Arabidopsis thaliana: one gene and its partner. The protein of the gene in region 1 purifies or fractionates together with the protein of each later gene. This does not show direct contact. Each region holds a gene or a part of one and is shown on either strand. Other genes may lie near its edges.

Region 1 (3,096 bases):
TCCTTCCCTAAACAATACACCAATACGAATGCATCAATACACATTTGTCGCGCATATACAATTACGAATTTTCTTCAAGGATCGAGATCAATTACCTTAAAAAAAAAAAGCCGCGAAATGATTTACCGTTCGGACAAAACAAAAGTGAAAATTGGATCGAGATCGGAAGCAGGAGTTACGATAAGAAGGAATCGTAACTCCGGTTGGGATTACAGAGAGGAAGAGAGATGACGAGAGAGAAAGAAAACAAATCTAGCAGGCGACTCTGTCAGAATTCCTTATTTGGGGGTTCGATTTCTCTTATTTTTCTCTCTTTTTTTTTTTCTTTTTTTTTTGATGCTTTTTTGTTGTCATTTGGTTTTCGAGTTTAGCTGTTTAGGCATTGACCTCAGAAACAACCCGACGTTTTAGGCAGCTTTTTCTCCCATAGTTAGCTACGTTTCTCCATTTTTCAAGATTACTAATTTTATTAAAATATTACTATAATAAATAGATTTTTATTTACATTTTCCATAATCTGAATGAAATCAAATATATGCAAATATCAAAAGTATCACCTGATCACCAATTCCTAGTTTTGTCCAATGATACTGATGATTCATCAGCCGATTGATTGAAGGAACAAATTTGAAGTTTTCCACTGCTAGTTGAATTATGGTTAGTTCATTTGACTTATCAAAATCAAATGACTAAAATATTCGAATTTTCTTACATGCTGTAGAGATTAATTTCAATTTTAATTCATCATCCCATTATCTATATAAGAAAAAAGTAGAAACATTTCGCGAAATACAATCCACCTTCTGGGTTGTTGTCTTGTTGAATATGGTCAGGAAAATAAGACCATTAAAGCTTCAACCTCCAAGCCAAAGAGCAAATAAAATACTACTGATTAACGCAAAAACATGGAAAAAAAATAAAGTCTGCAAATTGGCATGTTGACATGTTGTACGCGTAGCTTTACAACCTCACAGGTCGTTTTTTTTGTGTGACAGTTTTAACCCCCAAAATCTCTTTCTTTTTGTTTTTCCCTAAAGTAAAAAATAAAAATCTAACATGTCCGAAGTCGAACCAAACATAAACATACAGGTGTTCGAAACTAGTTAACACAATAACACCTCTAGATATATATATGATTATGGTATTACTTTTCTTTGGTGATTTTTTTGTTGGGAGAGAAACATAAATAAACAAGTTGGCCCATATTCCAGCGATTTTCCTCACCCTTCTTTGATATCTCAGTTTATAAAAGTCATGATACTAATAAATTAGAGTATACTCAAAGAAAAATCAGAAAATACACCCAAAAAAGCAAAAATGTGAGAAAGAGAAACATGTTGTTGTCCGCTGTATGGCGTCATAAGCCATTCTAGAATCATTGAAATGCATATTTAATCCTCTCTGGTAATTCCAAAAAAGCGATGAGGGTATTAACGTAAATCCACCAGAAGACGAGAAAGTGGGGATGGTGGAAGGAGAGATGATAAGAGAGATGGAAACGCGTCTCTCTATGAGGCCCATATTCCATTCTTACCTCTCTCTACCTCTCTATCTCTCTCTCCTCATAATCGATCCGTAAACTCGCCGGAGGAGCAGGGAGATTCAATAAGACGATGGCTCAGAGAACGGAGAAGGAAGAGACCGAGTTCAAAGTTCTCGAAACCTTGACGACAACAACAACGACGTTATGTACCAATAACTGCGGCGTTACAGCGAATCCTGCGACGAACAACATGTGTCAGAAATGTTTCAACGCATCTCTCGTCTCGGCGGCCGCAGGTGTTGTTGAATCAGGTTCGATCTTGAAGAGATCGGCTAGATCTGTCAATCTTCGTTCGTCACCAGCTAAAGTCGTGATTCGTCCAAGAGAGATCGATGCGGTGAAGAAGAGAGATCAACAGATCGTAAACCGATGTTCTGGTTGTCGGAAGAAAGTTGGGTTGACCGGATTCAGGTGCCGATGCGGTGAGCTTTTCTGCTCAGAGCACCGTTACTCCGATCGTCATGATTGTAGCTACGACTACAAAACCGCTGGTCGTGAGGCGATCGCTAGAGAAAATCCGGTGGTCAAGGCTGCGAAAATGGTCAAAGTTTAAAAAATTAAAAATTCGATCTCAACCGTTGAAAAACTTGTGGTGGTTCAAAAGCTCCGATCGGAAGAGAGATTGGTCGGAGAGACATGGATTTGATTTGGTGATGTGTTGTAAAAGAAGATCAGAGAGATTATTCCTCTCCTCAAATCAAAATCTGAACCTCAATTTTTTTTTTTACGTTTTTTTTTCATCTTTTAATTTATATATTAGTGAATGATTATTAATATTATTATTGTGTGGCTTACGGATTCATGAATTTGCTTCTTGATCATCGAGAAATGGTGTATGTAAGAGACGAAGGGGTTGTTTGGTAATTTAGGAACATGTCTTTCTGGTTTCGTTTCGTTTCGTGTGGTAGATGTACTTATCACGATACTACTAGTCCATTGTGCGTCACAACTCACAAAGCCAATTTCTATCAGACAAGTTTGCTTGGCGTATAAAATAGCAAAGCCAATAACGTGTTTGAGTTTGTATGGGTTATCATCTTCTTGTGTTCCATTATTTTTATAGATTTGTATATTTTAAAGCATAACATATTAAACTATACATTAGACTTTTGTTTTCTTTTAATAATATTAACATGAGCTTACTCATTCTACGAGTTTTTTATGTGAATTATTTTCAACGCATACAAAAATATCTTGCATATATCTTAAAAGTCCAACAAAATACTGTTCTTTCATGCAACTATCATTGTAGCCAGACTATAGTTATATCTACTTAATAAAATGTGTAAAAAAGTAAGTTCATTGGGACAATTTTCAATTGTCATCTAAAAATTGCAACAAAATACTGTACTTTCATGCAACTATGATTATTTATAACTCTAGTCAGAAAAAAAAAACTGACGGAAAAAAAAAAAGTCAGAAAAAAAAACTAAAAGTTGGAGCACCTAATTAGGCCCAACCCAATAGTGAAAATATAAATGTGTTGTTTTAAATTGAAACACAAAACGCACCGTTTATAATTAAAAGAAATTCAGAGAGGCTTTTCATATCTA
Region 2 (6,865 bases), on another chromosome or scaffold:
ACCCATTATTGCAGGTCGGTATTTGATTTAAATTTTGACCAAGAAATTTTCCATCAAATGATTGATTTGGAAATCATTTTGATTTGGAAAGTTTTAATGGACCGTTAAGATTATTAGTTTAAATAATATCCGGAAAATGTGTGATTGTACCATATTTTGATATATCGAATATTGATTTTTAAATATAATTTATTCCATATGCATAATTATGAATTATTGTAAATTCTAATCCGCTCCACTAATTAATTCGCGAGCTCTTAATATTGTTTGCCAACATAATATTTTTAATAAAAAATATGTAAAATTAATAACTATATTTTTGGTTTATTTTAGATTGATTTTTTATATTTAGTTTTTTTAAATCTTTGAAAAAACAATAAATAGGTGATAAGTATTGAATATAGTGTGTTTAAGAAATATTATTTAAATTTGAAATATAGTGTATTTAAGGAATATAGAGTGATGACCAAATTACCATAGACGATTTTGATTAATAATGTACAAAATCCAAAATTGAAAATTGATGGCAGATTAGACTATTTTTCAATTTGTATTTTCTTTTTAATAATAAGAGGATGTAAATTCAGAATATTTAATACAACTCAAATGCAAATATTTTTCAAATATTCGTAAATATTTTTGTTAAAAGCTTTTTTTGTGTAAATTCTCTAAAATTATTTTAATTATCAAAAAAAAACTACAAATACTGTATTGGATAAATCTCGTTCACGCGTGATTTAATTATGGGCTTTCATTAGGCCCATGATACTGCTAATGGAAAGATAAAGCGTTCTGTCAAAAAAAAATCACTGCAAACAAAAGAAGGTAAAAAAGGATCAATCTTGCCAAGGATCACTCTCTGCCCTCACTTCAGATGGTTCAACTACCTCTGTTTCTCCGCTTTTGTCATCTCCTTCATTCACAGTCGAGCTTTCTTCTTCTTCTTCAACTCTGCCCCATCTTCCTCCAACCGCCATTGCCATCATCTCATATATCTTGTTCCCGAGCTCGGCCGGGCTATCAGGCTGTACAACAAACACATATAAGTGAGTAAAATGGTCCAAGACTTTTACTGGGAAACAAGAAAGGTTTCAGATTTCTTACAGTGAATCCACTTGATATTATAGCAGTGTCATACAAGAGATCGACCACTCTTGTTGCTTCAGTGCTCTCTGGTGCATTCTTACAAGCAGCCTGTACCAAAAGAATACAAAAATTAATAAGGCTTTTTCGAGACAAGAGATTTCTGAGAGAATATTATACCACACACTTACGTTCAAGTCTTTGATGATGGGATGATCTGGATTGATCTCTAGTATTCTCCTACCTCTCATGAACTCCAGGCTTGAAGTGTCTCCAAGAGCCTGTGCCTTCATTAGCCTTTCACAATGAATAAGCACATAAGTCAATGAACAAGCACATAAGTTTTATGGTATGTGGATTTCAGGTTATAAAGCTTTTGCTGAAGTACTAACCTTTCCATATTAGCTGACCACCCGAATTTGCCAGAGACAAGCACACAAGGAGAAGAGCTCAAACGGTTTGAGACTTGGACTTTTGCAACTTTGTCACCGAGCTGCTGTTTTATCCAGTCACAGAGAAGGTTAAACTCTTGTTTCGCTTCCCTGTCCTTTACTTCATCTTCATCTCCTGCGAGAATGGACACGTTTTGTTACAAACAAATGGTTGAGAGAAATGTGCGGGCAGTCAGCAGTGCTAAACCATACTTACCGAGTTCCAAATCTTCTTTACTGATATCAACGAATTTCTTTTCTTTGTAGGTTTGCAAATTCTGAATAGCAACTTCATCGATTGGTTCAACCAAATATAGAACCTATAATTAACAAAAGCAAGTGGTGAGAAAGTCAAATCTAAACAGAAACTCGAAGTTGAAAAACAAGTCTTGAAGCATATACCTCGATATCTTTTTGGATTAGTTTCTCCAAGAAAGGGGCAGACTTGGCACTTTTAAGACTATCAGTTGCGAGGTAGTAGATCGCCTTTTGGTTCTCTCCCATGTTCTCGATATAATCATCCAAGCTTGTCAATTCCTCTTCATTCTTGGAACTGAAGAATCTAAGTAGCGGTGTGATACGCTTGTGGTTACCGGTGTCTTCAATACAACCCAATTTAAGGAATCTACCAAAGTTCTCCCAGAATTTCTTGTAATCCTAGAATTGTTTGTACAACATGAATATCCCTGGCTTTCAAATGAGCTCAAAACAAAATTAGGATAATGAGATACCTACCTCTTTGTTTTCACTCTCAGAGATTTCTTGTATCATGTCAAAGGTTTTTCTAATGAGCCTCTTTCTCATGATTCTTACCTGAACATTATCACGAAAGATAGTACAGTTACAATTTGTGATATTCATATATGATAAACATTTGTATCACTAACAGTTGCACCACTCACAATTCTGCTTTCTTGGAGAATTTCACGAGAAACATTAAGAGGAAGATCATCAGAGTCCACAACTCCCTTCACAAAGCTCAGATATCTCGGGAACTGCAAACAGATTAGGTAACATAGTCAGATAAAAATTGAACCACAAATCTAAAGAGATTTCTACATAAGAAAGAACCCATAAAAGACTCACAAGCTCTCCATCAAAATCGTCAGAGATAAACACACGCTTCACGTAGAGACGAATGTTCTTTGTTTTCGGGTTTGTAACATCTTCATTGTTAAGAGGACCCATCCCAGGGATGTACAAAATGCTCCTGAACTCAACCTCACCCTTTAATAATCAAGACAATACAGAGACTAGTAAGCACCAATTGAAGAATTCATAAATTGACATAAATATAGTGTATAGTGTATAAGTATAAAGACCTCAGTTGTGAAGTGTGTGTGAGCAAGTGGATCCAAGAACTCATTGAAAGCCTTTTTGTAGAACTCATTGTACTCTCCTTTTTCCACTTCCTTCGAATTGCGCATCTATTCAAAGACACAAAATAATCAGTAAACATGTTGAAAGAAAAGTACAAAACGCAGGCTAAAGCTCCAAGGCTTACCCATAGCGGTTTGGTCTCGTTGGCTAGTTCCCAATCCCAATACTTCTCAGTTTTAGTGGTCTTCTTTTTCTTTGGCTCACCCTGGAAACAAACAAGTAACAAAATCAACTCAGTAAACAAAATTCTAGAACAGTCTTTTGGTTGTGACTGTTTGATAGTTGATACACACAATTAAAACAACATAATTTTTTTACCTCTTCTCCTTCCTTAACTGGTTCGTCCTCTTCGACCTACCACAAGTTACAAATTTTAAACCATATTAGCAATGTGAATACACTAATATGATTACAAAAACAAAACTTTCATCCTCACCTCTATAGTCCTTGATTTCTCCTGCCATGTATAGATAGGAAACCCAACGAACTGAGAGTAATTCTTCACGAGGTTCTTGATCCTTGTAGACTCCGCAAATTCGTATTTATCATCCTCCTGCAGCCAGGAATAAGCAGTCAAACAAACTATAAGAGATCTGACGCATCAAATGAAAGGATGAATGAATAAAGAAAAGTACCCTCAGATACAAGGTGATTTGTGTTCCACGACGTAGAATGTTATCAGGGTCTGTTTCTTCTCTGATCAGATACGAGCTACTATCGGCAACCGATTCCCAAACATATTGCTTGTCAGATTTGGGGCTTTTGGTGGACACAACAACCTGAAAGCAAAGACAATTGTACGTCCATTCCTCGTAAGAAATACATTAACCAGAAGACACTAAAAAACAAAAGTTGAAAGTCTTCACCTTCTCAGCAACTAAGAAAGCAGAGTAAAACCCAACACCAAACTGTCCGATCAAACCGTTGTCAGCACCAAGGTCCTTGTTTTCCTGAATAAAGAGAGCAATAAAACAATGAGTCCGAAAACATGACATCAAAGATTTGCTAGCAACAGGTTTTCAAAGAGATGGAAAAAAAACCTTTAGAGCCTTCAAGAATTTCGAAGTACCACTTTGAGCAATAGTTCCAAGGCAATCAATAAGTTCTTCCTTTGTCATTCCAATACCAGTATCACTGCATATACGCATCAAACCTCTCTAAGTAAACCTGTTCTATTCAATTTTCAATACTTAAGTAAAACAAAAAATGAGAAGTCTCTCATACGTTATGGTGATGGTGCCGTTATCAGGATCAGGCTTAATCCTAATCTCAAGATCTCCACCATCTCCAAGCAAAGAAGGCTCTGTTACACTCAAGAACCTCAGCTTATCCAAAGCATCACTTGCATTACTGAACATACACAGACACATTCAAAATCAGATTTTGACAGAAACACACAAATCATTTCCAAAACAATCCATCAAAATTGACTCACCTTACAAGCTCCCTGAGAAACACCTCCTTGTGACTGTATAAGCTATGAACAATCAAATCCAACAATCTACTAACCTGTGATAAGATTTCAACAATCAAATCTTAAAACTTTATATCCCCATCAAGTTGAGAGATACCCAGAAAACAAGATTGAAACTTTAGGAGATATGAAAGAGAACCCACCTCAGCTTGGTACTCAAACTTCTCACCTGACCCTTCTTCAGTGGTCTCTTTCTCCGCCACGGCGGCGTCACACTTCACGGCGAATCGGTTACATCTCTTTTCGAGATTCCAGCTACACGAAACGCCGGTTCTTAAAGCGCCGCCGTGTGGGAGAAACGAGCTTCTCAGATGAGAGAGACGAGAAGAGACAGGAGTGATTGGAACTGAAGTCAAAGGAGATGTGTAGAGACTTCTACTCAAAGCAGGAGCCATTAGATTTGAAAGTTGTGAAGGAAAAGATTTGAGATTTTTTTACAATCTCTCAATCTCTAAAGAGAAAAGAGTTTGTAGTAGTTGAACAAAGAGTAACCTAAAAACCCTATTAAAGGTTTAAGGAGAGTGAGGTAAGAGAGGTTTCTAGAAGAAGAGCGTATAAAGAGAAGAGATGTTTAGAGATTGTGAGGTCTACGAGAAGCCATTTCATCAAAACCGTAGGATTATCCGTTTGATTTACACGCGCCTCTCCTTGAGAAATTGTAGCTGACACACACACACACACCAAATGCAAACCAAATTGAAAAAACACCTTATTGGGCCTACACGTTAACCCATAATGGGCCTATAGCCCGTATAAAGTAAAACGAAAGGTTATGGCTGGAAAATGTTTCGTATCAAATTGGCCCATATCAAGAAAGAGATCTTGAATATTTGTTTTTTTTTTTTTTTTTCGTAAATTATATATATGAAAGTTGGCCAACTCTCTTCATATGATAGACACATCATCACTTTAGCATTTGACATGTGTTTATTAAATAATTAATGTAATCTCTTCAATTTCAAATCTATAGTTTAATGATATATTTATATTTAATTTTACATATTATTTTATTATACATATTTAATTGTACTTTTACTAAATTTATTTTAATATCACATGATTTTTTAATAAAATCATTTTAATAGTTTTCTCATACTCGAAGATTTTTATGGTAATCCAAACTCAAAGTATGAGTATATTACTTAATAATTTAACTAAGTTATTCTCTTAAATTGATGTTTATATTCTCTTAAATTGATGTTTATATTCTCTTAAATTGATATTTATATAATAAATAACTGAGGGTGAAGAATATGTAAGGAGCTCCATCATTAAATTCTTAGGTTTATAGAATCCAACACTACCCTCTGTTAAATTGGTTTAAGATAAACATTGTTTAGAAATTATGTGTATGATGCATTGTTGAGAATGTGGTTAGAAAAAAATATTTTAATACTAAATGTAATTGCTTATTGCATGAGTAAATGATAAGATAAATAAAAATTATATTTAAATTAAACAATACAAAAACATCCGAAAAAACCGTGGTGTAGCGCGGATGATCACCTAATATTTCATAAAAATGAAAACATGATAGGTTTACAATCGATGATTTTCAACCTAAGCTAATGGTTCCATGGCAAAAAAAATAAAAACATGGAAGCATAAAAATAACCACATACATAGTGACATATACCAAGATAAAATGATATTAAAATTTTATTGATTTAGAAATTATGAGAAGGTGTGCACTAAATAAAATACAACAATGTTGATGCTAACGAAGATACACGATTGCTAATTATTGGAAATATCGAAACCATACGTTATAGACTCCATACCCATAACTAAATTAACCAAAACATATATAGTTACCAACTTCTCACTGTCCTCTACTTATTTTGCAACTTTTCCTTTTTTTATTACGACTATAATACAGTATGTGGGTATTGGGTATAACCTAAAAACAAAATATTTGCAATTTGGTCAAAAATTTGCAATTTCTTTTAAGAATAATAAAATGATGCAAATGATGTTTATTTGTCCTATTTTTGGATCCAAGGCAGGTATTTATGAATGGTCTACTGAACAAAAGTAATATCTGATGGAGAGCGGAAGCTAAATAACGGACGAAAACACAAAATCTCTATGAGAACTCGGATTAACGAACGGATTTTGTTTAGAACGCCGAAACTTGATGAAGAAGCAATAGAGATAAGGTCGAGATCGATAACGATATCGATGAGGTTTTGCAAATCCTCCTTGCAGGGCTTGAACACAAGCTTTTAGGGTTGAGAGTCCTCCTCTCTAGGCTTTAGACAAGCTCTCTTAAAACTCGTTTATTCAATAATCAAAAACTAATTACAATAATGAATTACATCTCTTAAAATAAGAGAAAAAGAATGGAAACCCTAGCCTAAAGAATAAGCAAACTAATATCAAATATTCAAAGCCCAAATATACATTAATTAAGTCCATATGAAACTAAACCCAAAAGTAAAGCAATAAACAATCTCCTCGGACGTGATGAATACCGGAGGAGCATTTGTCTTCAAGA

The links. The genes of interacting proteins can lie anywhere in the genome.
Region 2: the proteins of SAP5 (region 1) and CR88 purify together in Arabidopsis thaliana (affinity purification with western blotting, with the first as the bait; one study listed by BioGRID). This does not show direct contact.

The regions. Positions count from the first base shown.
Region 1 is NC_003074.8:4,011,094-4,014,189, forward strand, and holds SAP5 (A20/AN1-like zinc finger family protein), read left to right. Parts: upstream 1-1,514; 5' UTR 1,515-1,613; coding exon 1,614-2,096; 3' UTR 2,097-2,490; downstream 2,491-3,096. UniProt on the Arabidopsis thaliana protein: May be involved in environmental stress response.
Region 2 is NC_003071.7:1,279,881-1,286,745, reverse strand, and holds CR88 (Chaperone protein htpG family protein), read right to left. Parts: upstream 4,993-6,865; 5' UTR 4,764-4,992; coding exon 4,512-4,763; intron 4,404-4,511; coding exon 4,330-4,403; intron 4,245-4,329; coding exon 4,119-4,244; intron 4,029-4,118; coding exon 3,935-4,028; intron 3,845-3,934; coding exon 3,761-3,844; intron 3,674-3,760; coding exon 3,530-3,673; intron 3,448-3,529; coding exon 3,331-3,447; intron 3,249-3,330; coding exon 3,213-3,248; intron 3,100-3,212; coding exon 3,019-3,099; intron 2,942-3,018; coding exon 2,837-2,941; intron 2,742-2,836; coding exon 2,601-2,741; intron 2,510-2,600; coding exon 2,417-2,509; intron 2,328-2,416; coding exon 2,250-2,327; intron 2,172-2,249; coding exon 1,917-2,171; intron 1,835-1,916; coding exon 1,732-1,834; intron 1,651-1,731; coding exon 1,476-1,650; intron 1,381-1,475; coding exon 1,275-1,380; intron 1,195-1,274; coding exon 1,105-1,194; intron 1,026-1,104; coding exon 837-1,025; 3' UTR 602-836; and 1 more. UniProt on the Arabidopsis thaliana protein: Molecular chaperone required for chloroplast biogenesis. Essential for chloroplast biogenesis and maintenance, and thus for embryogenesis. May be involved in the disassembly of VIPP1 for thylakoid membrane formation and/or maintenance.